4 linked regions of the Tamandua tetradactyla genome follow. Each later gene encodes a partner of the first gene's protein in a complex. Links are inferred from orthologs where the notes say so. Each region holds a gene or a part of one and is shown on either strand. Other genes may lie near its edges.

What was found.
Region 2: DHX9 (region 1) and IGF2BP1 share a complex: the UniProt entries of both Homo sapiens proteins name them as parts of the coding region determinant (CRD)-mediated complex. The link is inferred for Tamandua tetradactyla from reciprocal best matches to the Homo sapiens genes DHX9 and IGF2BP1.
Region 3: DHX9 (region 1) and HNRNPU share a complex: the UniProt entries of both Homo sapiens proteins name them as parts of the coding region determinant (CRD)-mediated complex. The link is inferred for Tamandua tetradactyla from reciprocal best matches to the Homo sapiens genes DHX9 and HNRNPU.
Region 4: DHX9 (region 1) and YBX1 share a complex: the UniProt entries of both Homo sapiens proteins name them as parts of the coding region determinant (CRD)-mediated complex. The link is inferred for Tamandua tetradactyla from reciprocal best matches to the Homo sapiens genes DHX9 and YBX1.

What each region holds. Positions count from the first base shown.
Region 1 is NC_135330.1:37,702,463-37,709,787, forward strand, and holds the start of DHX9 (ATP-dependent RNA helicase A), read left to right. Parts: upstream 1-4,320; 5' UTR 4,321-4,466; intron 4,467-7,101; exon of another isoform or gene 7,102-7,240; intron 7,241-7,325. UniProt on the Homo sapiens protein: Multifunctional ATP-dependent nucleic acid helicase that unwinds DNA and RNA in a 3' to 5' direction and that plays important roles in many processes, such as DNA replication, transcriptional activation, post-transcriptional RNA regulation, mRNA translation and RNA-mediated gene silencing.
Region 2 is NC_135332.1:30,231,021-30,238,699, forward strand, and holds the start of IGF2BP1 (insulin-like growth factor 2 mRNA-binding protein 1), read left to right. Parts: upstream 1-4,668; coding exon 4,669-4,843; intron 4,844-6,018; coding exon 6,019-6,079; intron 6,080-7,679. UniProt on the Homo sapiens protein: RNA-binding factor that recruits target transcripts to cytoplasmic protein-RNA complexes (mRNPs). This transcript 'caging' into mRNPs allows mRNA transport and transient storage.
Region 3 is NC_135333.1:16,458,669-16,466,445, forward strand, and holds the start of HNRNPU (heterogeneous nuclear ribonucleoprotein U), read right to left. Parts: upstream 3,016-7,777; 5' UTR 2,788-3,015; coding exon 2,100-2,787; intron 1,214-2,099; coding exon 1,102-1,213; intron 1,013-1,101; coding exon 939-1,012; intron 1-938. UniProt on the Homo sapiens protein: DNA- and RNA-binding protein involved in several cellular processes such as nuclear chromatin organization, telomere-length regulation, transcription, mRNA alternative splicing and stability, Xist-mediated transcriptional silencing and mitotic cell progression.
Region 4 is NC_135328.1:182,059,491-182,067,337, reverse strand, and holds the start of YBX1 (Y-box-binding protein 1), read left to right. Parts: upstream 1-4,842; 5' UTR 4,843-5,167; coding exon 5,168-5,333; intron 5,334-5,393; exon of another isoform or gene 5,394-5,445; intron 5,446-5,946; coding exon 5,947-6,010; intron 6,011-7,847. UniProt on the Homo sapiens protein: DNA- and RNA-binding protein involved in various processes, such as translational repression, RNA stabilization, mRNA splicing, DNA repair and transcription regulation.

The sequences.
Region 1 (7,325 bases):
ATATGGAATAATTTTCCTGGACTTACCAAAAGGAAACAGTTGGTATTGCACTTCTGTATGTAACATATTTTTCCTGCCCATTGTGCCTCCATCTCCTCTTTCTTTCTAATAGAACCTCCATTTCTCTATTTCCCATACCTCAGGAAAAGTGACCCTATGTCCTGATCAGAGGTAAATCCCAAATTATTTAAGCCAGCCATGGAAATCCCATTCCCTATAAGTGACTGGTTTACAGGTGGGCATGTGATATAAATCTGGCCACCTAGATGCATAGATCTCTTCTTCCTCTGGCCGTTGTTGAATCCAGAGGTAGATTGCTACAATGCTTTTGTAGTCATGAGGGAGCCAATCTCAGGACACAGCCAACATACTGAGAATGGCAGAAAAAACTTGTGGACCTTCATGTAACTGCTGAATTAACCAACCCTGAAGCTACCCTACGTCAAGACTGTGTTATTATGTGACAATAAGTTTTCCTGGCTGTTTTAGCCTTTTCTAGCTGGACTTTTAATTACTTGCAGCCAGAAGCAGACTAAACATTTTGCTGATCTTCCTTGACACTATTTTCAACTCTCTAACCTGCACCTCTTTCAGATCGAGCATCCCTTACTGTTCACAGATTCCTAAAATAGATCATCCTGTTGCCACTACCACACCTGACTTTATGTAACCCTAAATAAAAAGTGGTTTTGCCTTATGAGTTTTGATGCTTTGTTGCTTATTGCTTTAAGTTTCATGACTAATAAATCTTCATCATAGATTTTTACCCTTTATCATTGTGCTGGTTTGAATTTGTGGACCCCAGAAAAGGCATGTTCTTTAATCCTCATTCAGTATTGCTGGGTGGAAGTTTTAAAATTATCCATGGAGATATGACGCATCAAATTGTGAGTCACATCTAACTTTTGATTAGATGATTTCCTTGGAGATGTGTCTCCACCCATTCAAGGTGGGGTTGCTTATTGGAGCCGTTTAAGAGAGAACCATTTTGGAAAGAGCTACAGAGCCCTTGCAGTCAGGCCTTTGGAGATGAAGAAGGAAAACGCTCCCCCCGGGGAGCTTCATGAAACAAGAAGCTGGGAGAGAAAGCTAGCAGACGCTGCTAGGTTCGCCATGTGCCTTTCCAGTTGAGAAACCCTGAACGTCATTGGCGTTCTTGAACCAAGATATCTTTTACTGGATGCCCTAGATTGGACATTTCTATAGCCTTGCTTTAGTTGGGACATTTTTGTGGCCTTTGAACTGTGGACTTGCAATTTAATAAATTCCTACTTTTAAAAGCCGTTCTGTTTCTAGTATATGGCAGCAGCTAGCAAACTAGAACAATCATCATAAAGTGTCCTTCCCTTCTCTTTAAATGCTTTTGTAGTTGAATTCAACATTATTTGATACTGTCATTTTCACCCCTTCTTCATGTTTGTTCGCATTTACCTGTAATGTCTTTATCCACCCATTTTTCTTCTTTAAGATCAGAGATTATGATGTCGCCAAGAAAATAGGATTTAGTGTAAATGAACTCATACCAGAGTAGGGGTAACCTGCACTTACTAGTCCCCAGGTATGTCCCCCAGGTGTGTAGCTTTTGGTATTAGTCTCTGCACAAATTGGATTTGGCTGGATTGGGGTAAAGAGTAGAATTTCCTCTTACATGCCTTAATACTTAGGACCTACATCCACCATTCAAGGACTTGCAGTAGAAATCTAGTGATTTTTAAGACAATGTTTTTAAAAAACTATCAGACTTTCTTTATTCCTGAACCAAATCTTCATCATCAAGGCTATATACCTTCATCTATGGGGAAAAAAAACAGAGTTATTCCTAGATAGTTTTGAATAAGTTCATTCCCACCTTTTAAGGTTTTTAATTAAATATTTACATTACATTTTATATGTGTAAGGTATAAAGATGAATTTATATGGTTTGTGATTTTTTTTCTCATGTCTGGCCATTTGATTATTTTGATGTGCTAATTCAGCCAGTTTCTTCCTTTTGCCTAGGATTTGATTGTGCACTGACTGAGTGGTAAGGCTCTTTTCAAATGCTTGGTCCGGCTTATACTGAACATTTAAAGCAGCCTGTGTTTAACAGTTCAGATTTTCTTAGATCTTCTGCACCTGTCTTTCGCTCTGGGCATGTGCTGCAACTCTTACAATTGTCCAATTAAGTGTGACTGTTTCAGCTCTAGGAAAAGATTTATTTTTCTTTGTTCCTCCTTCAGGAGTCCTGAACTATTCTGTTTGTTCTTTTTGCAAATTTTCCTTCCCAGAAACTGTGATTTGATCAACTGCTTTTCCACTCCAGGACTGCCTTTGCATTACAGTTTTTGGTCCTCTCTCCTCTCTGCCTTAGAGCAGTTTAGTCTTTCCCTTTTTCCCATTCGGCTCTTCTGCCTCCAGTAACTTGCACATTAGAGTATCCCACCCAGGGAGCCAGATGGGGTTGGTGTTCAGAAATGCCCATTTTTCATTTAGGTGCACCAGCAATTAGAGACCAAGTTGGGAGTGTGCACCCTTTGCCAACCCTTCCATCGTGGGTCACTTTGTTTCCTGTTTCCTGGGGGCTGATTTTTCTGAGCACACTTGCTGACTACCGGATTCCCCACTTTGGTCCCTGTGTCTAAATGTGTACAGAGATCTAAGTTACTGCTGTGGGTGGCTCTATGGTCAATGACCATGGCAGGAGGTGCCCAGGCCAGAGTGCTTCCACTGAGTGACTCTTAAACCACATAAGACCCAGTGAGGTAGAAGATCCAGATAGGCAGGTCCGTGCCACAGATTTTCTCTTTTCCTTTTGGTGCTTTTTTTTTTTTCTTCGATTCAGCATTTGTAGAATCTTTTCCCAGATTTTCGTCTTCCAGAGTTCCAGGTGAGTGGTATGTGCCCTTTTATTAAATGTCTCTAAGAGGAAATTTCCTAGGGATAGCTTATGCTGCCATTATGATGATGTCACTTCATTAAGTTACCTGGCCCAGGAGTCAGAGAAACTGAAGGAGAAGCCATGGCAAGGTGCAGCAGTTGCAGGCCCAGCTGTTGCCTCATACCTATTAGGTGAGTCTACTGCTCAATGTCTGTGAGCTACAAGATGGTTGCAGCTTCCTTTCCGCCTCCAGATCTCCCTTATTTGGAGATTTGAACCTTATTAGGGTACAAATGTACAATTTTAAAGCCATGAAAATGTATCCACATTAAGGCATCAGGAGGAAGATACCTTCTCAGAGGAAAGGCTGCTGGCATTGGGGTTCCTCTGTCACATGGGAAGGCACATAGCAATGTCTGCTGTTCCTTCTCTCCAAAATTTCTCTGAACTTCTGTGGGCATTTCTCTCAGCTTTCTCCAAAATGTCTCTGCCTTTTATCCTCTCATAAAGGACTCCAGCAAGAGGATTAAGACCCACCTTGAATGGGCTAGGTCACATCTCTTCATTGAGGAGAGCAAACACATGATGAAAATAAAAGATGAGTAAATGCTAAATTTTGTTGTTCTCATTATAAGTGCATTAGAGTTTTGAAGAAGGGAGTGATCACCATGACCTAGAAGGAGTAAGAAAAAATGTAATGAAAGAAGCGAAAACTAAGGATGGATAGTTATGATGGGTCCAGAGTATTGATTGGTCTATGTTTTCCGGAACAACTCAGTTTGAAATATCTTGCAGTGTTGCACTAGAGTTAAAAAAATTTAGCAGTAGACTATTGTAATACTTAAGGATACAAATTAACCCAAAGATTCTGAATACAAAAGGATATCCAATTTAAGCAAAAATGGCCTTGCATGTTTTATTCATTCCTTCAACTCGTACTTACTGCGCAAGTGCGATGTGCCCGGCATCATAGTGGGTGTCCTGAGCTAGTGCAGTGTCCCTCCCTTCACTGAGCGTATTTCCTTCTCAGGAGACATTCACGATCAGAGTAACTGAATCACTTAACGATTGACAGCAGCTACTATTTATTGAACACCTATTATGAACCAGGTAGTGTGTTAAGCCCCCTTAATATGCCATCTCATTTAATCATCACAGTAACCTAATGAGGTGAGCACGGAGATTTCCAGTTCTGTCATCTCACCAGAGGTACCTAGGACAGAAGCTACGATATATATTGCTACATCTAAAATATTAACGGCCCCAACTCCTAAAATGTTAAAAAGCGGGTGGCGTGTTACTGGAAGAAGTCCCGCTAGGGCACCTCCGGCGAACTTAGCGGGTCTCCAAGGCGACGGGATGCAAGCGCAGCCAGATTGCAGCAAGCTCGCCCCCGGCCTTCTGGCGCCTTCGCCCACGCTCGCTTTCTGCGCAGGCGTACGCGTACTAACCCCGCCCCGCCCCGCCCCTTTCCTGCGCAGCGGTCGGAGCCATTCCGCCGCCGTTTCCATGCTAGCGTTCTCGCGGTTTTCTGCTTTCGTCGTAGAAGGCCGGAGCCACGGTCAGTCCTGAGAGGGCTGTGCTCTTGAGCACCCTAAAGCGGTATTCGGTAAGGAAAAGGAGCCCTTCCCTCATTGCGGGGCAACAGTGTCGCGGGGCGGCGGGGAGGGACCCGACGTCGGTGCAGCCTTGCTTTGTTACAAAGCGCGGGTGCCCATGGCGGGTGGGGGAAGGGGCGAGCCACCCCGCCAAGTTCCCGGATTGGGGGTTGCGTCTGCCGCTGGCCGCAGCGCGCTGGCCCTGTCCAGGGCCGCGGTTATGGCGCCTAGGCCTTCTCCCAGCAATTCCTACCCCTGTCTCCGAGGTACAACCCGCTTCTCCTTCGATCAGCTCACGTTGGGGGCGCTGTCGCCGCGGAGCGAAAGGGGAGTGAGTTGTCGGGTCGTTAGCCCGCGGCGACGCACTCTCCTAGGCCCTTCATTCATTCCCTCACGACACAAATATTCGGCGCCCTCCTGCAGAGAGTGGGTAGAGCATCACACAGGTTAGACACAGTCCCGCCGCTTCCCTCAGAGAGGTTTGTGAGGGGTAAGCGATTGAAAAATATTATGAGGAATTTAGAAGTGTAAAGGGAGAGAGTTATTTTAGGTCGGGCGGCAAGGGAAGGCGTCTAGGGGAGGGGGTAGACATTTAAGGTATTATCTGAAGGCGGAGATTGCGCCAGCTGTGAAGATGAGGAAAAGCAGAGCTGCAGAGGCAGGAGGGATTAGTTGACGCTTAAAGGCCAGAGACTAAAAAGGAACCTCAAGAAGGGGATGTGACTGGATTGTGGCAAGAAGGATTTAAAAGAATGAATTTTAGGTGGCAAGAGTGGAAGCAGTACTCCAGATGTGCAGTGCTGGTGGGAGAGATGGACATAAGCAGATATATTGCAGACATATTTGGGAAGCAGAATTGTAGTGGTAGAGGGAAGTAAATCTGGAGTCAGACCTCCTTGGTGGAATTCTGGCTCCTCCGATCACTAGCTCTGTCTTCTTCAACTGTGAGAAGGGGATAATAATGGTTATCTAAAGGCTCTAAAGAGTAAATAAAATAGCTCATGTAGATGATCCACTAAGGAAACTAGCCCATATTAAGGTGCTCTACAATGAATAGTTATGGCAGTTATTCAGGAGGTAGATGACTCCTAAATTAGGTTAGTTTGGTAGTTGGATAAACTTATGATCTTGGAGCTTGAAGGGAAAGGACTGTGCTTTCAATATATAGTTGATGCTGAATATTGTGGAATTAGATGAGACAACTTAAGGAGAAAGGAATTTGATAGTGTAGTTCGTATTTCATGTTACTCAGGGCTTGTTTTTTGAGTTAATTATTCAGGAATGGAATTTACAGGTAGACCTCTTCAGCTTTCCACAGCTTTTCTGTGATAGAGTGCTCCTTCACCAAAACAGCTGAGCAGGGTTAGCCCATGGCTGCACAGTGACCATAACAGGATTATACTAGTGTCCGGCTTAAATGCATTAAACGTAGATGCTAACAAAGTGCACTAAGAGTGATCCTAAACAGGTGTAACCTGAGAAAGGAGGTTTCTCTTGGCTTCAGACTAAATTCATAGCATATTTTCTCTGGTCTAAATTTGGTTTCAGGTAAATTGCTTATAATTACGACTCAGACGTTAGATTTGTAGGCTCCATTTATTTTGGTATCTATAAGCTGGAATAAAGGGGGGACGCTAACAAATAAATGTTGCACTTCAAGAAACTTGGTATCTTCAAGTTTTACAAGTAGCAAGGCCTAAAGGAGAGAACTGGTTCAACTCCCATACCTTCAGACAAGAGACTTTTTTTTTTTTCATAGAGCGATGAGACACCACCAGAGGATTTTTAGCAGTGTAGTGGTAATAGCAGACCTTCAAGCAAGTGGCAAGGATAAAACCAAGTCTTCTCCCTTGTAATGGTCGTTCTTCCTTACATTATTACTTCCATTGTGTTAAGAACAGGAAAAAAGATACCTGTAAAGTAGGAAATAGGACTCTCTCAATAGGCTTTTCTACTGTATTTAAATTTTTTTTTAATATTTAATTTGGTACAGGTGTCTTGGAAGAGAGGCGGTTTATACAGGAGCACTTGTAAAGTCATGTATTCTTTAGGGGAGAGGTCAAAGTGACAAGGCCATTTTAGGGCTAATTGGACATTTAGGGATACTTTAGAAACATGTAAATATTTGAGCTATATAGGTTCTTGTTTTCAGTTCAAGTACTGAATACTTACTGCATTTGGACTTGTTTTTGTTTGCTAAACTGCCAAAATGCAATATACTAGAAATGGACTGGCTTTTTTTTTTTTTACTTAATATGTACAATTTAAGTTTTACACACACTTTATGTTCAGCTTTTCTCCCTAGAAAGGCAGGGAAGGCATCAGGCAATCTCAGTATATGATCTCCAGTGCAATCAATAGTTTAAGCATAAAAACTAACACAGAATCTTTCTTTTTAAATTAGCCCAAGCTTTGCTGGCCCATCACAAGGATACATTCCAATAATTTTGGAAGACATAGAGGTCTTAGCAGCATTAATCAGGCAATCTCTTCCAAGTTTATCTGTATTAATAATTAGGTTTTCACTGATATACCGCACTGCTTCCCTGTTTGAAGTGTGGGGGAGAAAAACACTTATAAATTTACTATTCAAATTCTTCTGGTTTTATCGAGTTTAGTACATAGTACTAAAATGTCACAGGCACTGGTTTTCTGTTCAGCCATTTCATATAGAAGAAGGACACACAGAAAAATCCTCCCTCTTCAGATCATGGCAACTTTCATCTATCCCATAAGCATAGCCACTAAAATCTATTAAGAGAAAAAGTGGTAGTCGAATGGGAATGGACTGGCTTTTAACAGTATTTATTAGTTTATAAGTTTACAGGTCTGAGGCTTTGAAAATGTCCAAATCAGAGTATCAACAGGAT
Region 2 (7,679 bases), on another chromosome or scaffold:
AACCATAATTTTATTTCAAAACTGATTCTTTTTATAGAAAATTAAAAATTAAAAATTCAATTTTAATATGTTTCTATCTTAACTGCTTTCTAATTTTTTTGCGTCTTCTTTCTTGTAAAACATGTTGGCTTCTAAAATAGAAAAGTCACTGAGAAATGCTAATTTAAATGCTATAAATATTTTGGGGATTTATTTGAAGGAACTATTAATTAAAAAAAGGAAAAGTTCTATTTCCCCAAATGCCTATTACAGCATTATTTACAAAAGTAAAAAATTGATGCAACCTAAATATCTAAAATAACAGTTAATAATTTACATAGATTGCATTTTTTGTGTATGTTCACTAAAAATCATATTTATGAACACTTTGAGGTAGTATGGAAAAATACTGGTGATACAAGAGTGAGAAATTAGGATATAAGAATAAAATTACATAGTGTAAATATTACAAAGGACAAATACTGCAAGGAAACATTAAAAATAAAATTAATTTGGTATGATACTTGTGGAATTGTTGATTTTTTTCACCTTCAATTTCCAATTTTTTAAAAAGTTGTTTTATTTCTTACATTTTTTTCTCTGCATGTATTTGTATCTTCACGTTGGATGGAAATGGATCAGAACCCCACCTTTATTTTTAGAGTCGAGTTTTAGTGTTTTTGAATTCAGAGGGAATTGAGTTCAATAACTAGACCAAAAATTTCTCCAGTGAAAACAAAGGAGGAAGAGTAGGAAAATAAGTAAAAGGAGAAAATGAAAAAAGGAAGAATAATTAACATTATTAAAGAAAGAAAAGCATAATTTATTTCACAGATATATTTCTAGGTCCTTAAAATTTAATTCTTCAGTGAACATTAACCTTTTCCAAAGAAGTGGCATGGGAAATTTTTTGAAAAGAAATACAATGTTTATCAGTTGTCTTTAAATATTAAAAAAATAAAGTAAAACAAAGAAAAGAAAGATGTTAAATTATGGCAACCTAAGACTGCTCATACCTATCCCTAACCTAGGAATCTGAGTCTTGAGAGAAATAACTCTTCTTTCAGGTTAATTTTAGTGCTCAGCTCACTCAGAGGTGAAGCACCAATCAGCGCCATTCAGAATTCCCCCGCCCCCCAGACGAAAATAGCTAGGTCACTGAGGCAAAACTGATTTGGGGGTTAAAAAGGTCTGTATCTCACCCCAGCTGTCTCCTTCTCTCCCTTGTGTTCTTGCAACCTCTGACTATACGTGCAGAAGCCATTTTTGAGTGTGTGTGTGAGGGGAGGATTAGAATTCAGTGAAACAGCTGATTTTGAAAAATAAGTAGTTTCAATTTTGCAATAGTTGGTAAGTTTTTAATTTAATAATTTAAAAAGACTTTTAAAGAGCAAACTTTTTCTCCTCGGCTGTCATTTTAAATATGTATTTTTAAAAAACTGACTAATTTCAGCTAACATTTAAACTTCTATTATTTTCAATCTAAAAGGGAACAAGATTCTATTATTATTATTATTATTATTTTATTATAACTCATTTCCCTTTGAAGCTAGGATAGTAGAAGGGGAACTGCATTTGTACAGGAGTTGAGAGGTCTGGGTGGAGATTTTCTAGGGTGTAACTTGCTTTTGTTTTAGGGATATGAGGATAGAGCAGTGAACATTCCCCCAGGTAGAATAGCTGAGAGGTGCATCTATTAATACTTAAAAGATTTAAATTGAATGAAAAAAACAGTACTTAAAAGTTTCTGGGTACTGGGATGCTTTGCCTAGTATCCTTTCCCTTGTTCCCCAATAAAACAGAAAAGATTTTAAAGAGACCTGGGTTCCTACTTAGGAAAAGGCCAAGGAATACAACAGCCTTTCTTGAGATCATCTTTTAGCCCTTTCAAAAATCCACACACACCACCAAGAAAATTCCCTGGGAACAGACCCATATATTCTGGCCAAGATCATTTGTAGTTTCTGGATTCAAAATCTCCTCTGGATTTTCCTTGCTCTGCAGTTGGTATTAGCTTGTTCCTTTAAAAAAATAATGTTTATTGAGTGCCTACTATGTGATAGGCATTGTTTCCAGCTCTTTGGTATAGTTTAAAATTATGTTTGCGGTCGAGACCTGACTAAATCTTAAGTCAAAGAAGATGTGGAGGGTCTGAGGAGGCGTGTGTGTGTGTGTGTGTGTGTGTGTGTGTGTGTGTGTGAGTGTGTGTGTGGAGGGGTCTTCCTACCCCCTTGAACAGAAAACATTAGCAACCAACTGTTTATGTTTTAAAAATTCCTATTGCCCCAAGGAAAGAAAAATAAAAATCCGACAAACACGTGGCTGGTTGGAACAAAACGCTGATTTGGGAGGGTGGTTCTTGAAGGTGGTGGAGACAGAGAAACGAGTTGTAAGCCCCATTCCCCCTTCATTTATTCTCAGCGCGCTGGAAAAATGGGGAGGGGGACGAAGGTGCTGCATGCTGCCTTCTCAGTCCGGACTTTTTGGACGGTATAAATATCACCGGCAGAAGAGCGGTGAGCCAAAGTCGGAGTCAGTCCACTGACTCTGAAAACTAGAAAAATAATAACAATAAAAAATTCAAGGCATTCATATCAATACAGGCAACACGTGTTGCAAAACCCGGCCCGGGCCGCAGGCGACTGAGACAATGGGGTCGGGGGCCGGGGAAGGGGCGGGTGACCCCCTTCTTCACCTGCCCTCGCTGCACATGTGCCCCAGACGGGGTTATTTCTCCCTCCAGAGGAACCCGGGGCCAAGACTCGAGTTTCCGCCCAGTTCCGAGAGACTCGGGCGTTACCGGTGGTCGACCCCCGCCCCCTCCCCAGTTCCCTGACTGAGAGGGTTCCAGGGTCCTCTGGCCGCGCTCTCCGCGCCCCCCCGGCGCCATCCCAGCCCCGCGCCGCTGGAAACTCGTTGGCCTCGCCTCTCCGCCCGGGATTCCGGGCTTGTGCGTGGACCCCGCGTCCCGCTCTCGGTCGCGTATCCGGGACTCCGAGACGCGCGGCGACCTGCCCCCTCCCCCACCGCCGGGACGGGGTGCGACCGCCCACGTGTCGCCCCTTGCCCAGTCGGGTCCGTCCCTCGGGCTCCTGGGGACGGAGGATCCGGAACGAGTTGGTCAAAGCCGAGGGAAGGGACCTGGGCGGATCCGCTTCCCCTCCCCAGGAACGGGCGGGGGAGGAGCCAGCGCCCCCTCCTCTCCGCCCTCGCCCCTCGCTTCCTCAAGCGCCGAGCGGAAATTGCCCCCTCCCCCCGCGGGTCTGACCTGGGGGCGTGGGAGGGGCTTCGCGCCCAGCCCCCAGCCCCGGGCCCCTCTCCCGCCTTCCCACTGGGATCCGAATCCTGCGCCCCAAACAAAGTTCCGAGACCCCAACCAAGCGCCTGGAGCGCTCCTGTAGGTGTCCGCCGTGGACCAGGCCGAGGACTCCACCTGTCTGCCCCGCAGGGAAACGGGGACCATTCCTATCTCCTCCCGGTCACTCCCTCGCTGAGACCTCCCCCTGCGGTTCTCCGGGTTTGCCCAAGATACCACCCCTCTTTCTTCTCTTCCACCCTTCCTCTCTCCAGGGGTCACTTTGGACCGGAACCGCGCGCCCCCACAGGAGCCCTGAAATGTTATCGCTCAACAGTCGGATCCCCTGTGCGAGCCACCCTTTCTCCCGTGGGAATCCCGAAACATGATTTCCTGCGGATCCCTCGATCCCAACTGCGATTCTCCGGGTTCCTAGCTTCCCGATCCCGCGCTCACAGGGGAAATCAGTTTCCGATCCCCGGAGGCGGGGGGAGTTGCATGGGGGTGGGGCGGGGAAGGCGGAGACCCCTCATTTAAAAATCTAGGCAAAAGGCGCCTTCTTAAATCCCCAGCTCTCACGACCCCCTCCTGAAGACCCCAGAGTCCTCGGTTTCTCTTTGTCTCTCACGGCCGTTCCCCTGCTGTCAGTCTCGAGCAGTTAATCGGGTTGGGGTGGGTAACACTCCCCCCCCCCCAACGAATAAAAAATAGCCCTACATTTTACCCAGAACTGCGGGCTAGATTCTGGGCCCGACCACCCTCCCCCAGTTCGGGCCAGGGGAGGGAGATGGGTGGGGGTGGGGCGCTTCCCTAGGGGCCAGGTTCTTATAAAGGGGGAGGGGGCAAATAGACCTCCGGGAATGCCGCCCCCACCGCCGCAGTTTCCCCTGGGGGTGAGTCGAATGCCCCCCAGGCGGGAGATTGGTAGACCAGGACTGGCTGGAGGGCCGAGGGGCCCTGAGGCGTCGGGGGTCTTCCCCTGCGGGGTGGGTGGGGGCCTTCACCACGTGGCTTCTCGTTTTTTTTTTTTCCGCTCCATTTTTTTCAAGTCGATTTTATTTAGAGGCGGCGCCAGGGCGGCCGCGGAGAAACGTGACACACCAGTCGGCTCGGAAGGGTATCGGACCCAAGGAAAGGAAGGGACCCGCCACCGCGTCCTCCGCGTCGGATCGCGCGGCGGACACTTCTCCCCGGCTCTCCCCGCACTCTCCCGCGCCCTTCCCCGCCCTCAGGCGCCCTCCCCGCCCTGGGTTCGCGACAACTTAAGGGTTGGGTGCAAAGAAAGTTTGCGTTCCGGCCGCGGCTCTCCGCATCTCTCGGCCTAGGAGGCTCGCCGTCCGCACTTGCTCGGTTCGGCCTTGCCGGAGACCGCGTCCTGCCGCGAGACCGCCACCATGAACAAGCTTTACATCGGCAACCTCAACGAGAGCGTGACCTCCGCCGACTTGGAGAAAGTGTTTGCGGAGCACAAGATCTCCTACAGCGGCCAATTCTTGGTCAAATCCGGCTACGCCTTCGTAGACTGCCCCGACGAGCACTGGGCGATGAAGGCCATCGAAACTTTCTCTGGTAAGAGCGCACCCACCTCCCCCCCACACCAAAAAAAACCACCACCGAGATCCCCAACAAGCGAGACCTGCACCTTCTCTTGCTTGACCGCCAACTCTACCCCCTGGCCCCGCCTGCGTGGCTCGGCCCCAGGACTCACCCTCAACCCACCCCTATTCTTCTGCAGAAATAATTCGGGATATTCTCACCCCTTCTTCCCACCCGAGACAAGAAATTGGGGGCTTTAGAAAGGTGATTTCTTTAAACCCTAAAGACGGGGCGGGAGCCCCCATTTGGCAGTAACGGGGGGCCTGGTTTTAGCGGCGCTGAGGCGACCCCTGCCTGGACGTTATTTCCAAGTCCCGCTCCTCCCTAGCCGCCACCCGACGGCCCCTCAGTTTGAGCACCCCCAGTCCCTGCACGCCGCCTTAGGCCTTTCCAAACAGGGAAGGGGTCCCCACACCGTCTCCGGTCCCTCGGGTTTCCGTGGGGCCCGCAGTCTTCGGGCAGGGCCTGGGAGGAAAGGGGTCCCGCCTACCGCCCAGGCCCTGGGACTTGAGCCATTTTGATTTGAAAGTGGGGCGTGAGCGGCGTGGCGCGGCGGCGGCGGCGCAGGGTCGCCATGCTGCTTCCCGAGACGCCGAGGCTGGGCCGAGAGGCGCGCGCGGAGGCCGCGAGGGACCTCGCGGGGCTCAGCGCTGCTTCCCCAGGTTCTCGCCGTCCTGACGGGCCCCGACAGGTGACCGCCCGGCGGCCCGAAGTCCTTCTTCCTGGCTCTTCAGAAAAATAAAGTTTCATTCTGCATCCGCGCCCCGCCCCCCTGCTCACACTCCGAGAAACCGGGAGATCTTTCCCTCTTGGCCACTTCTCCCCACATCTGGGGGTCGTGTTGGCAGCGCACCCGCAGAAATGCCCCCGCACCTTTCCCAAATGGCGCTCCCAGGGCAGTTCACAACACAGCTAGCCTCAGTGCGAAAACAAAACAAAAAATTAAGAAAATATTACGAATATATTTTCCATAGTGCCCAGAGCGACCCTTTCCCACCCAGGAGCGGGACCCACTTCTGAATTCCTAGGACGATCTCGAATCCCAGTAACTCTTCAATAACCCTAGCGTCTTTTACTTCCTCTTCCCACCCCCACCTCTGTTCAGTCTCTCATATTAATGTGAGTGTGTGTGTTTTTTTAATCTTTAGGGAAAGTAGAACTACAAGGAAAACGCCTAGAGATTGAGCACTCTGTCCCCAAAAAGCAAAGGTAGGGAAGAGCTCTTCTCTGGGGCCCGTCCTGGAGGCCGAGAGGCACCGATCAGGGGTCCATAGCGTCTCCAGTGGAAGAAGCCCATTACTGGCCTTCTCACTCCCAACTCCGGATGTTGGGGGCAGGGAAGGAAGGTTGGCCAAGATCTTGTTGAATGGGTGGTTTACAGCTTGTAAAAAAAAATAATAAGTTGGGACTATGGTGGGCTAAAAGATGTTGCTTGGAGGATTAAAAGGAAATAAAAAATAATAGGAAGGGGAAAAATCTCGTGGAGTTTGCTCAAGGTGTGGGGCCGGTTTTTGTGCGGAAGCTTATAATTTTTGAAGAGTTCTGACCCAAGGCAATTTCTGCAACTTCTTAGCAGGTTTTATTTCCGTTTTCCCATCCTTGAGCCCTTCCCTCACCATAATTTTTCAGTGGTTTGGAGGAGGGGGGGTCCCTTTATACTCCCTAGGGACAATAGAATGAGCTTCCTGCTCCCCAAAAGAATACCCTTATGCTTGTGCTTAATTTATATTTCTGCAACAGGGAAAGGCTTTTTTTTTCTTTTTTTTAAAATAGACCCTACTCTCCACATCCCACCCCCCCCACACCGCTTGCTGAATTTTTCAAAGAATATGATTTGGCTGTACTATCCTTTTCAAGCCCCCTCCCTCACTCCTTCGGTCCATTGTTACTAGGGACCATCTGGGTGAGAGCTTTGTGTTGAGGCTGTGAGCTGGGCTCTTTGGAGGGCCTAGAACTCCCTGGATAAATAGTGGGGGTGGGGGGTGGGGGTGGCAGTATGTTTTCCAATACCCTCTATCCTCTCTTGCAAAGGGGGTCCCTCCATTACACCCCCCCCATCCGGTTCATGTTGGCTTCCAAATCTTTCATTGAATCGTAGCTAGAAATATAAGGGCAGAGTCTTTCTGCTTTCTCAAATCAGCCTTTAAACATGTTGACAGTACAGTTTTCCTTATGTTACTAGTTGGGAGCAGCCCCCAGTAAATCTTGGATTCTCTCCCTCTCATTTCAAGTGAAACTTGCTACATTTCAGAATAGTTCCTAGACTTTCTTGGATGGGAAGTGGATGGCTTCTTTTTTTACTGGGGGAGAGGGTTAAGAAGAGCTAGAAAGTTTAACTTGGGCCAAAAATCTTTTCAATTATTTAGTTTGAGGTATTTAAGTAACTTGGAATTATTGTATCTATAGATGATCAATATGGCATGTTACTATGTTTATAGAGCTTGTGATTTAACCTTAAGTGGTTGAAATACTTTGTTATTGGAAAGGCAATTAGAATTGGAGTAAAGAGGCAATAAAATTGGAAGGAAGAAGTCTTATTTATTATTTTGAAATATTTCCTGGAGATGGGCATAGAAGAAACACACACCAACACTAATAGATTTATGGAAGATTGTGGATATTTGAATTTAAGACTCATTTGCATTTAAAACACATTTAAAATGTGTTGATAAGAAATATGCAGAATAACTGGAATTCTGACATGTGGAAATTTTTTCTTTTGCTCTTGAGGATGAATTAAATTTTAAAGGGAATAAAGTGAAAAGTAAGAGAAATATCAAAATGTGATGAAATGGAATTCAAAACATTT
Region 3 (7,777 bases), on another chromosome or scaffold:
ATAGACTATCTCAACTACCTATAAATGGTATACGGTAAGAAATAAAAAATTTAATGTTTACACTGTTACAAATCTGAATAAATACAACTTCTAATTCATGGAAATTTAAGCTTCCACTGCTTAAATCTACTGGGCGATGTGACACCTATCTACTTGTACTTCAATCATTTCTACCCTCTGCTCTACTTATTACAATGAATAACTTCATTTTTATCAAATACCAAACCAACGTAATTACTTATAGTAAAATTATAAATCTGACAGCCATGGCTCATTTATAGGTTTGCAATACTTCCTCATACTCAATTGCAACCCAACTGGGTAAAGTAGCAGAATTTACAGTGCTGCCATTGATACCATTCGCTGCTGAAGAAAGCTAGTGGCCCAGTGAAAGCCCACTGCTGCTGCCCCAGGTCTTTGGAAGAAATCAACTTATGTTAAAGCAGCAGCTACTGAACTGGAATTGAGAACAAAACAGCAGTTATTGAAAAAATAGTATTACAATCTTTCGTTAGAATAGGGAATAAACTTGTGTGCTAATGGGAAAGGTCATTAGCAAATATTTAACTAGCCCAAATAGCTCACATTATAATTCTACAAAAAAAGCGTAATTACTTTACTGTAGAAGCCTTAGTATAAGTTATGGGTACTTCACAAATTTCCATTAGGTAATTAGTAAAAAATTGCCATTAATTTTACATTCCTAAGCATAAGAGCTTTCAAGTCATATAAATTATAAAATCGCTAGAGCATGTGAAATTACCAATACAACTGATGCTGTACTTAAATATTAAGCTATAAGAATGAATACACACCATAATCTCCTACTTTTACTGTTTTCTGAACTTAGGTTGGACGTACAGCATTACGTCTGTAACACTGTAGAACCAAACCACAGCATTTGGAGCTGGAGGAAGGGAAGAAATGGCTTCACTTACAAGTATCAAGACAAACCACTGTGTCATCGAAGTGTTCATCTTCTTCTTCGACAGGCGGCTGAGGAGATTTGGCTCTGAAAGAAAGAATTGTCTCCTGATATGGCTTTTCCCGTCAACCAACAAAGAATAGATGATTAAAAAAAACTAGGTTACCATCCTCTACCTGCTATACTTGTTTTCTTCAATGTACTCAAAATATCCGCGGCCATGATCTTCTCGAGGTCTTTTAACACCTCTCTTTTTGTCTCCGCCTTTCTGCTCTGTTTTGCCGTCTCCTACAATACACAACAGCCTTATAAGAAGCCAAGCCGCCAAAGAGTGACCAAAAAAATCCTTTCCTAGTTTGAGGCGCAAGACCTTGTCTTCATCCTTTATTCCGTAAAGAGCTTTCAATCGACGAATCAAACGCGAAATCAAAGCACAGAATTCAACCAGTTAGTGACGCAGTCCAAAGACGTAACTAATTTTGCCGTGTACGCGATGATCCGAGAAAACGAAAGAAAAATAGTCGGGCGCAAATCCTGGACCCACGTGCACCGACAGTGTTCAGGAAGGGGGGAGGGGCGAGCCTCCGCCGCGCGGCCCAGCCCGCCCCTCCCCCACCAGCCCGCGCGCCCCGCCGCCGCATTGTACTGATCTTCCGCCCAGGCTCCCCGCCCGGCGCCTCACGACGGAAGTGACGTCACGCCTCGACCCTGCGCTCCTTGCACAATACAGCGCCCAAGAGCCGCTGAGGCACCCCCCGCCCCGGGACCTCGAGCCTCTCCCCTCCCCCCCCAGGCATGTGCCCGCACCGCGCACACGCAGCGCGGCGGGGCCCCCGCTGGCCCACAGGGCTTCCTCCCGCCGCCCGCCGTGGCTCCTCCCCCTCCAGCGGCAGCTGCAGCTCCCCCTGGCTCTTGAGTCACATAATGGAGGCGCCACCGCCGCCGTCACACACACCGACCCCGAGGCCTCATTACGAACCCAGAATTACCCGCAACCCCCCTTCCCCACCTGGATAGGCACACGGAAAAGGCTCCGCACCCGCCCCCCTCGCCCAACCCCCGCGGCGGCCCCAGCCCAGGGTTCCCTCCCCGCGGCGGGGCTCCGGCAGGCCTGGGGCACGGTCCCACCCCGCGCGGGCCTCCCGCCGCGCGCAACGTACAACGCAGCACTCACCCGCCGCCGGAGCCCCGGGGCGACCGCCGCCTCCGCCGCCTTCCGCCTTCTTCTTACCTCCCGCCTGCTGTTGGCCCTGCCTGGCCCCGGGCGGCGCCACCGTCACCGCGAACAGCGAGGTGGGGCCGCTGCTCTTCCCCGCGGCCTCCTTGGCGGCCCCGCGCTGCTGTTGGGGCTGTTGCTGCGGCGTCGCGGGCGGTTGAGGCTGCTGCTCCCCGTGCCCGTTCTCGTCTCCCGCGCCTTCCTCCTCGTCTCCGAGCTCATCTTCTCCTTCCTGGAAGCCCTGATCGTCGCCGTTCTCGTCTTCCGAGGCAGCCTCCTCCTCCTCCATCGGGCCCGAGTCGGCCGCCCCCGCGGCCCCGTTCTCCTCCCCTAGCTCCATCTGGTCGCCATCCAGGGCCGCGATCCCTTCCTCCTCCTCTTCTTCCTCCTCCTCTTCATCGCCGGCGGTCGCGGCCTCCTGCTCGAGGCCTGCTCCCGAGCGCCCGGCGGAATCCCCGCCCAGGTCTAGGCTGCCGTTCCCGGGCTCCATGGCGGGGCGGCCTCCGGCCTCCTCGTCGTCCAGCGCGGCCTGGAGTCGCTCCATGAGATCGGCCTTGAGGCCCTTGTCAGAAAGGCGCCGCTTCTTGAGCTCCTCTTTCAGCTCCGACACCTTCAGCTTTTTTACATTAACAGGCGAGGAACTCATCGTGAGGGCCCCGATTCACCGCTAGGCGCTGGTTCAAACTCGGCTCCGCTCACACGGCCACTGGTGGCGGCTAGTGCGGCTGCTCCTCGGCCCGGGCGGCGGCTGCGGCTGCGGCTGGAGGTGGGTTCGTGCTGCAGAGCGGACCCGCCTGGTGTCGAACGGCGCCAATTCCTTTCACCGAGTTCGCGAGGGAGACGCGGAGACTCGCCTGGCGCGAGCGAGCACGCAACGTCCTCTCGCAGGGCGGCGCCGCGCACGTAATATAGTCGCCCCGCCCCCCAGCCTTACGGTAGTGCTGCGCAGCAGCAAAGTCGCGGCGCGCGCGCGCTCCCCTTCATCCTCTTTACCGTACTTACTTCCCCGCCCCCACGCCGCGTCCCAGACTCGGAGAGCGGCGCAGGCCGCGCGGCGCCGTTCCTCACGGACCGAGCAAATGGAGGAAGGTCGACCGTCTCTCGGTTAAGCCGAAGCCTACCGGCCCTTCCAGTGCCTTAGTACTACTTTTGCTCTGTCAGTCCGATCTGGACGCTGCTTTTATCCATATGTCTTTAATTTCACTCGAACTCTCCACCTTTTCTTCCATCTTAGATTTGCATTCTTAGATATTTGTCCTCTATCAAATTAAAACTCCTCCACATTTTATTTCAAGTTTGATTTGTACCTCACAAATTAGCTTTGATTATGTGCGTGAGGTGTATTTTTCCGCTTAATTTTTTTGTTTAATTTTACCGAGTCCTGCCTGGGGAGTTGGATTTTAAGTGCCGGAAGGGTGAGGGCAGAAGCCCTTTCTTTTGTCTTTTCCACAACCTCTGTTGCAGGGCTTGGGATCCTGTATTCCACGCTGCCAAATAAACTTTACAGGCCTTCATGGCAACTGTTCTCATGTTTTAGTAGCCAAATAGATAGATCTCAGAATTGCATTTGTGAGTTTTCTTTACCTACCAAAAAGACGGCTCTTCTATAATGTTTATTCTGTCAAATTTAGGAGCGGTCTGCAGTCCCAGCAGCTAACAATGAGGGGGAGAGCAGTCATGCACTTTGATTCTGTTCCTACTCCTATGAAACTTCTTAATCAAATCATGCTGAAACTATAGAAACTGGTGAAAAATATGATTTTGTAAAAAAAAAAAAAAATAGTCACGCTGGAAAGGAAATCGGTAATTTTTGTTGTATTTTTAGAAGTTTATGTTTTCTCTTTAGTAAATGAAAGGACTGGTATGGTCTCGAAGTTTTAGGTAGGGGTTACAAGGAAATAGATTTGTGATAACCCGGGAGAGTCTGTACAGTGACCAGCCACTGTACTCTCTAAGGAGATCAGTTTACCCAGGAGATCTGTTTGGTACAATAATGCCCCAATATTAATTTGAAATTTGGAAGTGTAGAAATCTGTGGTTAACTTTCTCTCATAGACTAGTCTGATTTGATGATTAATACATTTTATTTTTAAAGTTCCTTTTTGATAGTTTTTAGGAAGCATGTACCTTGCCATGCAGGCATGTGTAAAGATAAAATACCAACATTTATGTAATGATTTAAGTTGAAATTAGCGAACTATGTACAATGCTGATAATTCTTGGTTCAAGTTGACTTGAATTGATCGGAATAATATCCAAAACAGAACCAAACAGGTTTTAGCCTTTGGTTATATATCCTTGAAATTTATAAACAAGTGACAAAACTGGAATTTGAACGCTTTCTTTGCCCTTGATCAAAAATTGAAAGAGCTACAGGAAGCTTACACATTCACAAATTAGATAATTAGTCCGTTAGAGAATCAGGGTTGAATACAACTAAGTCTTTTAAATGTGTAACTATCCTTAGATCCTTAGGTAATAGTTACATTTTTAGGTATTAGTGATATGAAAACAATTTCAATTTAGCTGAAAAAAATAAGCCCCAAAACTAGATATATTATCAAAATAGATAGATTTACAACAGTTGTTTGGGGTACATTAAATCAGTTGTAAGAACAAACATGAAATATGTTGCGATGTGCTTTGAAATGTATTGTTTTTTGTATATATATTATTTTTTACAGAAAAAGAAAAAAGTCGATTGTGATGATCAATAAAAAGTCTTAGGGAAAAAAGCCAAAAATAATAATTCAAAAAATAAAAAGAATGAACATGAACTCTATCTTTAGATGCACATTAGAAAGTTCCATCCATGGCCTTGTTTCCAAGAGCTTTGTGACTTTTAGAGCCAGATGGGGCCTGTTGATCGTCTTCAGTCTGTTCATTCCACAGTCAAGGAAGTGGAGATCTCACCCCCATGCCGATCCTCTTTCGTACATTACAGTAGGCTCCCTTAGACAGCGTTCAAAAGAAACCAGTTTTTCTAAATGCTCAGAGAACCATCATCTTACTGGTTCTTTTTTTTAAAAGGAAGAAATGTACCATAGACATATTTTACCACTGAAAGTACAAATCATGACTTGATTTTACTAGTCGTTTTTTACTTTACTCTTTTTTGGGGGGAGGGGCAGGGTGCATGGTCTGGGAATTGAACCTGGGTCTCCTGCGTGCAAGACAAGCATTCTACCACTGAACCAGCTGTGCACCCTCATTCTGCTTTATTTTTTATACCATCATGACAGTCCTATTCTACAAAGTTGACTAAAAGTGAGGTTACTTTATATTTCTGAGGGACCTATAAGGAACTTGAAATTACCCCCTTTTAAAATCCTGCCGACTACCAAGAAGGCACAGTTGAAGGGGGACAAATTAATTCTCAATGGCAAACAAGTGATTGATTAGTTAATTACCCCTGGATAATTGATGTAGCAGAGATAATTACAAAGTTAGGTACCCCAGATAGATAATTTACATTTTAAGGTTGAAGCAATGCTGTTGTTTTGTCACACAATTCACTCAGCAAATATTTTTGAGCTAAGACAGGCGCTGGTCTGCTGACAGATCAGTGATCTATATAAATATGCCTTCACTCTCAGGGAAAGTTAGTCAGTAAATAAAGTAGAGATGACAGGTACTACAGGGGAAAAACCAAGCAGGAGAAGGGCAGGGCATGCTGAGGTGGGGTGCATTTATAAATGTGGTAATCAGGGAAACCTAACATATAGGGTAACCTTGTGGAAGCCTGAGGGGTGTGATAGGAAGTGAGATCAGAAAGGAAAGATAGTAGAAAAGATTCAGATTGCCAGTAGTTTTCTAGGTTGTTTTGTAAGGACTTCGACTTTTGCCTTCAGTGAGACGGAAGACACTGAAGGATTGTTAGCAAAGAAATGACATGAACTGATAGGAATACTAAATTTAATGAATCAGCCTGCACTTCATTTATCATGACACTTCCATTTAATTCTGTATTTTTTGTATACTACAATTTAGCATAATGAAAGAAGCAAGAAATATGCTTAGATACATTTTTTAATGTGTTTTACAAAAGATATAAGAAATTACAAGTAGCTTTGGGTTATTATAAATTAAGACAATTTTTCAAATAGACCAACAAGAAAACCCAATTGGAAGGGGGATGTACCAAATAGCAGTTAAAAGTGCAAGCTTTAAAATCAGACAGACCTGGTTTCCATACCAGCTAAACCACATAATAGCTGTGTGATCTTGGACAAGCTGCCTCATAGGGTTGTTGAGAAGATTCAAGGAGGTAATGAATATAAAACCTTGAGTACAGTGCGTGGCACATAGTCTTCATTAGATATGCCTGGCAAGTTAATAAACTTAAGAAAATCCGTGATTTGATTGTTAAATATTATTTAGGAAATTGTGACTTTACATATTTTGTAAATTGTGAGTGATTTGTTCATGGTGAGATTTCAATTTGGCAACAAAGTGAAATAGTGGAAGCAAGAATGTGCAGATTTTACTTCTAGCCCCAGCACTGTCATTATAATCAGCTGTGTGATCTTTCTGGACATCAGTTTCCTCCTCTATAAACCATGCAGAACAGACTAAAAGACTTAATAGAACTTTCTATAAGTTCCCTATTTGCTGACTCTAAGAAAAAGCCATGGGGAGGAGTCAGGCTAGAAGTTAGTGGAAACCTGGAAGAGAAAGAAGAGGACAGCACTATATGGTAACACCAGGGAACCCCAAGGATTGCCAACCCTTCAGCACCACTGGCCCCAGGCAGAAACAAACTTTCAACCTCCAAAACTATTCCAAAGCAATAAATTCCTGCTGTTTAATCCAACGAAGTGTGTGGTATTCGTCATACCAGGTGGGAAACTAACACAAAACCCTCATCTAGATGTGGCCCAACAGCTATACTAAATGGAAAGCTGATCCAGGAATGGCAGTAAAGTGTATATGTAGATACATTTACATAATATATTTACAAACATATACGCACACATAGTCCCAATGCATCCAACAAATATATACTGAGCACCTACTATGTACCAAGTATTGTACCATATACAAGGAATACAGATACAAATGACACAGTACCAGGCAGGAGCTTAGTGTTTGGAGAGAGAAGTCAAGGTATAAGCAATTGCAAAGGATGCTATGAGACACTAGGACAACTACAAGGGGAGCCAGCCATCTTGACCAACTGCTTAGCTGCTGTCTGTAGGATTCCCATAGCATAGGCTTGTACACATGCTTGCCCACACACAAACATTCACACATGCAAACTCTCTCCCCAACAAATATAGACAAGAAGCCAGTTGCATGACATTTGCAAGGAAACCGTAATTAGCTAAGATTTTCTTATATCATATTCATTACTTTATATACAGAGCTGCTTATCATTTTTAGACTTCTGCCAGCTAATAATTAAGCAAGTCCTTCACTAAAAGCTGTCAAGTGTTTAGAGAAAAAAAGTCAAAATCAAACTAAAGGTGTCCCCTGTTCTGTCGTAACTGCCAAGGAACTCTGTATACTCTGTTTCTAAATAACCTTTTCTTCATTTTCCTACGTTCACTTTGCTCCACACTTTTTCTTTTTTATTAATTTTTTTTAAATACCAAAAAAACACCAAACAAACGCGAACATTCGTAATTTTTTTATCA
Region 4 (7,847 bases), on another chromosome or scaffold:
ATCAGAGTCTGATGGAAAGGACACAGGCTTTGGAGCCAAGTAAACCAGGAAGCTTTTTACAACTTTCTAGCTTTGTGACCTTAGTCTAATCATTAAACCATTTGGACCCGTAGTTTGCTCATATGGCTAAGTGACATGAGATGATAGGCTTGGCCATAAGTGTCAGTTCCTTTCTTCCTTCGATCTTTCTTGATTCCTTGTGTTAATATACCTGTCGATTTTGCTCTGGGAAACCGAAGGTCTGGTTTATGTCAAGAATCAGACTGGTTCTGCTCTCTTAGGAAAAGAGAATTAGAAGTGTAGATGATAGCTGGGGGCATTATCTCTCTCAAGGAATGTCCCCTTCCATTTCCTCTGAGCTGCTTACTGACTTTACTGACCTCCACGTCTCTGCCATTGTAGACCTCCCTTGAGTAAGAGCATCTGGATTGACCCCTGAGTTTGCTTTCCTGCCTGCTGCTCCTCCATTTGCTCAAGAGACCTTGGAAGTATCACTGATTCAGGACCCAGGATTTTCTTTGTTTAAGTTTTCAACTGTAAATAAAATTTTGTGTTTTTTATTTTTGCTATGTATGTTGTTGTTAAATGGTTGTATTAGCAGCCTCTATCTCCTCACTTCTCAGCTTCAGCTGGGAGGACTGTCTCTGCCCAGAGGCCAGCATGGACCAGAGCCATGCCCTTGCTATGTATAGTTGATGCCTTAGAATTGCAAGCTGTTGTAGTAGTCCCCTCGTAGCTGATGTGACAAAGAAATCAAAGCCTAGGGACTTAAAGCAATATTTATTCCAAGGGTGTTCCTAGTAGGTTTAATGCGGTTAATTCTGGGGACCATGGGAAAAGAGTCACTAACTTGGGATGTTTTTTAATGAGACCATTTAGTAGAATGTGTCTTGGTCATGAAGTGGTGGTAATAATATAGTCAAAAATCTCAATTTGAATCCAGGGTCATTTAAACTATTGGTGTTCTTGAGAAATTTTCTTCCCCTTTCTGAGCTCAGTTTCCTCATCTGTAAAATGGGGATAATACCTAGATTTGCCTCATAGTTTTCTGAAAGGGTCAAATAAAAGAGAATAGATATGAAGGAATCGTTAGAAACAGTAACATGTCTTTGAAAATACCTCACCATAAAAAGATTCCACTGAGTATGTTTAAGAGGAAAAGAAAAAAGTTCTCTGGTGTTCCTTTCATGAAGTATTTTACAAGTTCTCCCATTCCTGACTTTACCTACTTTATTCCCATCTCATGGACAGGATGCTATCTATGCCTACTGGCAGCAGGTTACTGCAGCAGAGGTAGCAGAGAGCCAAATTCTATGATAGAATCTGGTTAAACATGCTGTTTCAGTATACTGGGAGACAAGGGGGGATGTGAGATATACAAGACCCTACAATGTAGATATTCAGAACTCTCTGTAGCCAAGTAAGCAGGGACCAGAGCAATCAGTAGGGAAGGAAGGGACTGTGAACTGGAGGAAGACAGATCTTCAGTTAACTAGGCAGAGAGGTGGGAAGGAGGATGAGCAGATATGTTCCTGAGCTGATATTCTTATGGGCTAACTATTTAGTTGAGTTCAGTCATACCTGGCACCTCCATTTTATGCCAGTCCCTGTCCTGGGCACTGGAGTTGCAACAATGAGTAAGATGTAGCCCATGCGTGTGACAGGAGACAGATACAGTTTCAGTTCAAGGTGGAATTAGAATGTGAGCCCTTACGAAGGCAGGAAATTGTTTACTGCTGTGTGTCCCCTCCCCCACTGCCCCCAGCACCTGGAGGAGGTGTCTAGTGTCTCATGGGTGCTCAGTTAAGTATTTGTTGCATGAATAAATGATGATGTTGGTATGTACAAGATGCTATGGGAGTAGAGTGGAGAGACTGCAGGTAAGAGGAAGATGTCAAAGAAGGCTTCTTGAAAGACTGACGTTTGAGGTAATTATTAATGAATTGGTTAGAAATAGCCAGGAGATGAAGGTGGAGAGGGCTTTCCTGGAAGAGGGAACTGTGTTCTTAGACAAGAGTCTGTTAGAGATGGGGAAGAAGGTGAAAGTTATTTTGCAAAGTAAATTCTTGAACACTCTTGCCCTTCATATCACTAAAAGCTAGGCAGTGAGGTTATCTGTGCTGTGGTCACCATAGGCCACTGAGCAATATGAGTGAGCCCTCAGAATGGCAGGAGGATCAGCAGAACTTTGGAGTGGGAGCTCTCACTTTGGAAGGAAAGATGTATTTCCACATATTATGTTATCTTATGGTGCTCCAGTAGTGCTAATATAGAGGTGACTACAAGGAAACTAGCTTTTCTGTCTTAAGAAGTTCATCTACACATTGGAGGAGCATAAAGAGAAAGCCCCTTGAAAAAGTAAAAAGTAATTGGATAAGTAGTGATACTTTAAAGTAACATTTTAAAGACATGTTTCAAAATTTGTATTCTGCTTGAGAAGCCATCCCTTCAAAGCAATTGCAAAGGCTGCTCACTTCAACAGTCAAAAGTCACCTAGAATTGGAATAGCAGCTTTGGAATCCACCTGCTTCTCTCCGTCCACACTGTGGCTCCAAGCCTTCTTTTTCATGTGTATTACTAATACGGCTACCCAGGAGACCTTTTTATTTCCAGTGCTGCCTCCTCCAAACCATTTTCCACACCATGTCATTCGTTTAACATATCAAGCTATTATATATGAAGCACATTGCTAGGTGGTCAAGGAAGACTTAAGAGCAATACAGTATCAGGAAGGGGTTAGTACAGGATGCTATCAATATAATCACACGGGGGAAACACCTGAGTGACATCTAGTACTCTATAAGTAAGCAGCCAGGACCTAAAAGTTGAAGAGTTAACCAAGCAAAATGAAGGGGAAAATGAATAATGTTATAGTCTGAGGGGGTAGCCCAAAGGAAGCAATGACTAAAAGATCACCTGGAAGATTGGGCAAGAATTGAAAGAGTGGAAAGGTAAGAGTTTAATTTGGTTCAGAGTCCTATAAACCACATTATGGTATTTGGACTATACCAAGGGTAATGGAAGTTACTCGAAGACATTAAGACTGTCAAGGTCAGATTGGTTTTTTCAAAAGAGCATTCTGGTGGTTGAGGTGGAGACTGTAAGAAGAAAGCAGTGTGTGTGTTGGGGGGTGGCAGCAACCAGTTAGGAGGCTAATGCTCTAAACCAGAGGTCAGCAAACTGACTAGCAAGCCAGATCACACTTGTTTTTCTATGGCTCATGAACTAAGAATGGTTTTTAAAAATTTCAAATAGTTGGAAAAAAGTCAATCTTTTATGTAAAAATTATATAATTCATATTTCAATGTCCATAAAATAACATTTTATTGAAACACAGCTGCACTTGTTTATGTATTGTCCATGGCTGCTTTTAAGCTATAATGGTAGAGTAGTTGAGATAGAACTGAATGGCCCACAAAGCTTAAAATGTTTACTATATGGTCCTCATTTTTAAAGTTTGCCTAATCCGACTGTAAATAACAGTTGATGATGGCCTAAACTAGAGTAGTGGCAGTAGGAATAAGAGACCGGACTGACTTAGAGATTTTTAGGACTGGTTCAGGGAGGCCTTAGGGGATGGAATTGACAGGCTGAGATATTACTGATGGGACAAGGAGTAACCTTTCCCATCACAACTCACAACTTTCTCTGCTTCCATTCTCTTGCCCATCCGCAACTCATTTTCCACTCAGCAGCCATTTTAAAAAGGCCATGCCCAGTCTCTAGCTTCCAACTCTTAAGTTACTCTTCTCACTACTGCCCTTGGGGGAAAACTAAAAATATTCCTAATTTGATCCTGCCTACCTCTTACAACCCCATGTCTTCATTCTAGCTTTATTCAACTACGTTACTCGCAGTTCCCCTGAGACAACCATCTGGTCTTGTTTGGGGTGGGGGTGGGGGTGGGGGGCTTCGCATAAACCGCCCTGCGCCTGCAAAGTCAGTGTTTCACCCTGCGTTCCTCCTCTCCCAAGATGCTTTGTGCTTTAACAACCGTGGCGTGAAACGGGATGTTCAAATTTCTGCCCAAATCTCCAGACTGAATTCCAGAAGGCAGAAACTGACTCGCTCTTATTCCATCTCCAGCATATAGTAGACGCTTAATAAAGAACGAATGGAGCCGGAGGACTTACGCAACATCAGGTCTCCGCCTCAATTTTATCGTTTGTGAAACGTGGACAGTAATCCCTACTTCACATGGCTGCTGTAAGGACAAAACGCAAGAAAAAATGCCTAGTTTGCTCAAAATACGAGTTGAAATCAGTCTGAAAAAAGATGTGAATTCTCAGGAAAGCACATTCCTTATATGCCAGATAAAATAGATCGGAACGCGGTCTCCAGGGAGCACACAGCAGCCCCCACCACCTCCCTAAATATGCTGAGCAGGGGGGGCTTGAGAGCCCGCGCGGTCCCCTGAGGGTGACTGCGCCGCCCAAAGCGGACTCTTCTCGAATGCATACGTTTAAGTCTGATACTGGAGAAACCCTCCGCTGTTCCCCGTGTATGCGGCCATTATGGAAAGCCCGCTGTATCCCCGCGGTAACACTGAGTTCACAGGACCATATATGGAGCAGGGAAGGAGGGAGGCTGGCAGTCCCTCCACAAGGGGCTAAGGTGTCACTGGGCCCCCTTCCACGCCGCAGGTCAAGCAGGGTAATTCCGGACCAGGCGTTTGGCCGCGCCTTTCCCTCTGGGCTGGCACAACCCAGGACGTAGAGGCCCGTGCGGACTACACCCTCGTGAAAGTCACGTTCTCTCTGCCCACCCTCTCTGGTTCTCTATGGTTCTCGTGGTGACTCTACCCTAATTCTAGTTCCGGTCTCTATGGCGGCGGCGGAGGCAAGAACGGTTGTAGGTCTGTCGAATTAGCCGCCTAAGAGCCAATGAGAGTAGAGGAGTGATAAAGTATTAGTCAATAGGGGCCAGAAGTTGAGGTCAGGTGGTGGGATTGACAGCACTGCTGGCCAGTGAACATCTTTAGGGCGGGCCGATCACAGGGCTTATCCCGCCTGTCCCGCCATTCTCGCTAGTTCGATCGGTAGCGGGAGCGGAGAGCGGACCCCAGAGAGCCCTGAGCAGCCCCACCGCCGCCGCCGGCCTAGTTACCATCACACCCCGGGAGGAGCCGCAGCTGCCGCAGCCGGCCCTAGTCACCATCACCGCAATCATGAGCAGCGAGGCCGAGACCCAGCAGCCGCCTGCCGCCCCCCCCGCCGCCCCCGCCCTCAGCGCTGCCGACACCAAGCCCGGCACCACGGGCAGCGGCGCAGGGAGCGGCGTCCCGGGCGGCCTCACATCGGCGGCGCCTGCCGGCGGGGACAAGAAGGTCATCGGTGAGGGCCGAATGGAGACGGGGGTGGGGCAGAAGGGGAGCCTGGCCGCGGAACCGTTACCCGAAGCGAGGCGAGGAGGCGAGCGCGCGGCGGGCAGGGACCGACTCCGCCGCGCGCGGCTGCCCCTCCCCCACGCCCCCCCACGCGCGCACTCCCCGGCGCCGGCCCGCGTGCCCGGCAGGCGCGCGCGCGCCACCGACCGCGTGTGCGGCGGGGTCCGGTCCTCGCCCGCCGTTGTTCCTGTCTCCCCCACCCAGCTCCCTTCCGCGTGTACCCTGAGGGCGCGGCGTGCCGCCTACGCAGGCCGGAGTGGGCCGGGGCGGTTTCCCCTTCCCTCACGTGCTCTCTCGCTGTCTTCTCGCACACCCATCTTGGACCCGCGCCCCAGGCCTGCCCGTGGGGCGTACCGGGCCATCCAATTAACCCACGTGTTCCGTTAAAGCGTCCTGGTGGCGGTAGCAAGGTCCTGGAAACGGGCTTTGAAGGGAAAGGCTGTCAGGTGGCCGCGGCCCGGGCGGCTGGGAAGCGTGTGAGGGACCGGATGCTGAAGTGTGGCTTTTTTAAAAAGAATACCTGGTAATTGTGGGGTTTTTTTTTTGTCTGTTTTTTCCAGCAACGAAGGTTTTGGGAACAGTAAAATGGTTCAATGTAAGAAACGGATATGGTTTCATCAACAGGTGAGATGACCGTCACTGAAGCTTCCATCCTCTTGCATGTTTTCTACTCCGGCTGTAGGTTTTGCGTGGCTTTATTGTTTTAAGGATATGGAGATACACGCGTGTTCAGGGTGTGTGATACCTCTAGTGTATTAGTGTGATGTTCGTTTTCCTTGATGACTGCAAGGAATAGTGATCTAGAGATTTTCTTTGTTTTGCAGTTGTATCTTAACTTCTGAGGCTTCATTGGGGCACAAAGCACTTTTAAAAGGCAAGCAGAGTGTTTGAGCCATACCGTAGCAGGTTAGGACAAACTGAAGAAACTATGGTCCAGTACGAATTTTTCAGTTATATTCGGGTCCACAACGTTTTTGTTCTTCTCATCTTTTTTGTATATTTTATTGAATTTTTATTGAAATGGTTTTGAGAAGGAGCCCCGTTAGGTTATTTATAACATGTTAACCTCTTGTGGTAAGATGTTTTGACACGTTAAGTGTATGCGATTTTATCATCCTTATTGTAAGATTATACTGCCTTTGTTCCAGTAGATGCTGTCTTTTAAATACCTCGCATGAAATCTTTTATTAGAGCTGTTTTAACAAAAGGGTGTGTTGCTTTATTTATTTTTATTTGTTCATAGGGTTAAGTAACACTTGTGGAAGAAAATAGTCCGTACCCGTCCATAATTTTTGTTTCTCCTACTTACCTGTCCCAAAGTCGAGCCATAATATTAAATCAAATTATTTTAAAGTCTTGGCTATATGTTATTAGACGGCTTTAGTCCGGATGCCAAAGTGTGTGGCTCTTCGTATTTCTTCATATCTGAAGGTGTGGTTACAAAACACCTTCAGCATTTATCCTTAAAATTGCCTGTAGTAATAGTGATGGGGAACGTGCAGTTGATTCACAGCACTCTGCATGGATCTCCCTTGTGAGCCGGGCATCATTTTCAAGATGGCTGCCAAGGCGAGTAGTGCAGATACATGGGTGTAGAGCAGTGTACATTAACGGGGATCTCGGGCTTACAGGTAGGATATGTAACACCATGTCAGCATTTTTTTTTTCTTCTTTTAGAAAGCTTTAAACAGGTAGATGTTAAAAGCATGTTTGAGAGTAAGAAGTAAAAGTAGAATGTTTGAAATGTACAGTGTACTGCAGGAAACCAAATGGGCAAGATCAAGTTTAAAGACTGACATAATTGATGAATGAAAAAGCATTCATCAGTCAACCATAAAATATTGAGGAAACACTGGAAGTAAAAGAGATAAGCATTTGATGGTCTGTCTTCCAATTTGCATTTTAGGGAAAACATTTTGATTCTTCAATATCTTAAGGAATTTTTCACCTTTTATACTGTAGCAGGCCAAAGCTACATATTCTCATCAGTTTTGTATGTTTTGATGATGGATTGCTAGGGAAGAAGGAAGAGAATCCATTTACATCATTGATTGACTACTTTTTAGTTGATTGATCTCTCAATTATTAGTGTTTCAGTTAGTATTTCATATTACTCTGATTCTCCTTTCTGGTCTAAGCTCTAAACCAGTGGTTTTAAATTAAGTGTGCTTACCTTGGAAGAGAATACCCTAATTTCTCCTTCAGAGCACCTGATTTAATGAGAGTTCCAGGTGATAGTCTGTGGGCCACACCTTGAGACACATTGCTTTTAATCCTTGATAATGTCATTATTTCTTGTGCACATTAGAAGAGGCTGTTAATTTGCATGTGCCTTTTGGGTTTTTTTGCATTTTTTTCAAATGGCACAGGTTATGATATTTTCAAAGTAAATAATTTATATGCAAGATGTAAAAGTAGTTCTTTACATATTATAAATAGTTATGCCATGAGATACTATTCT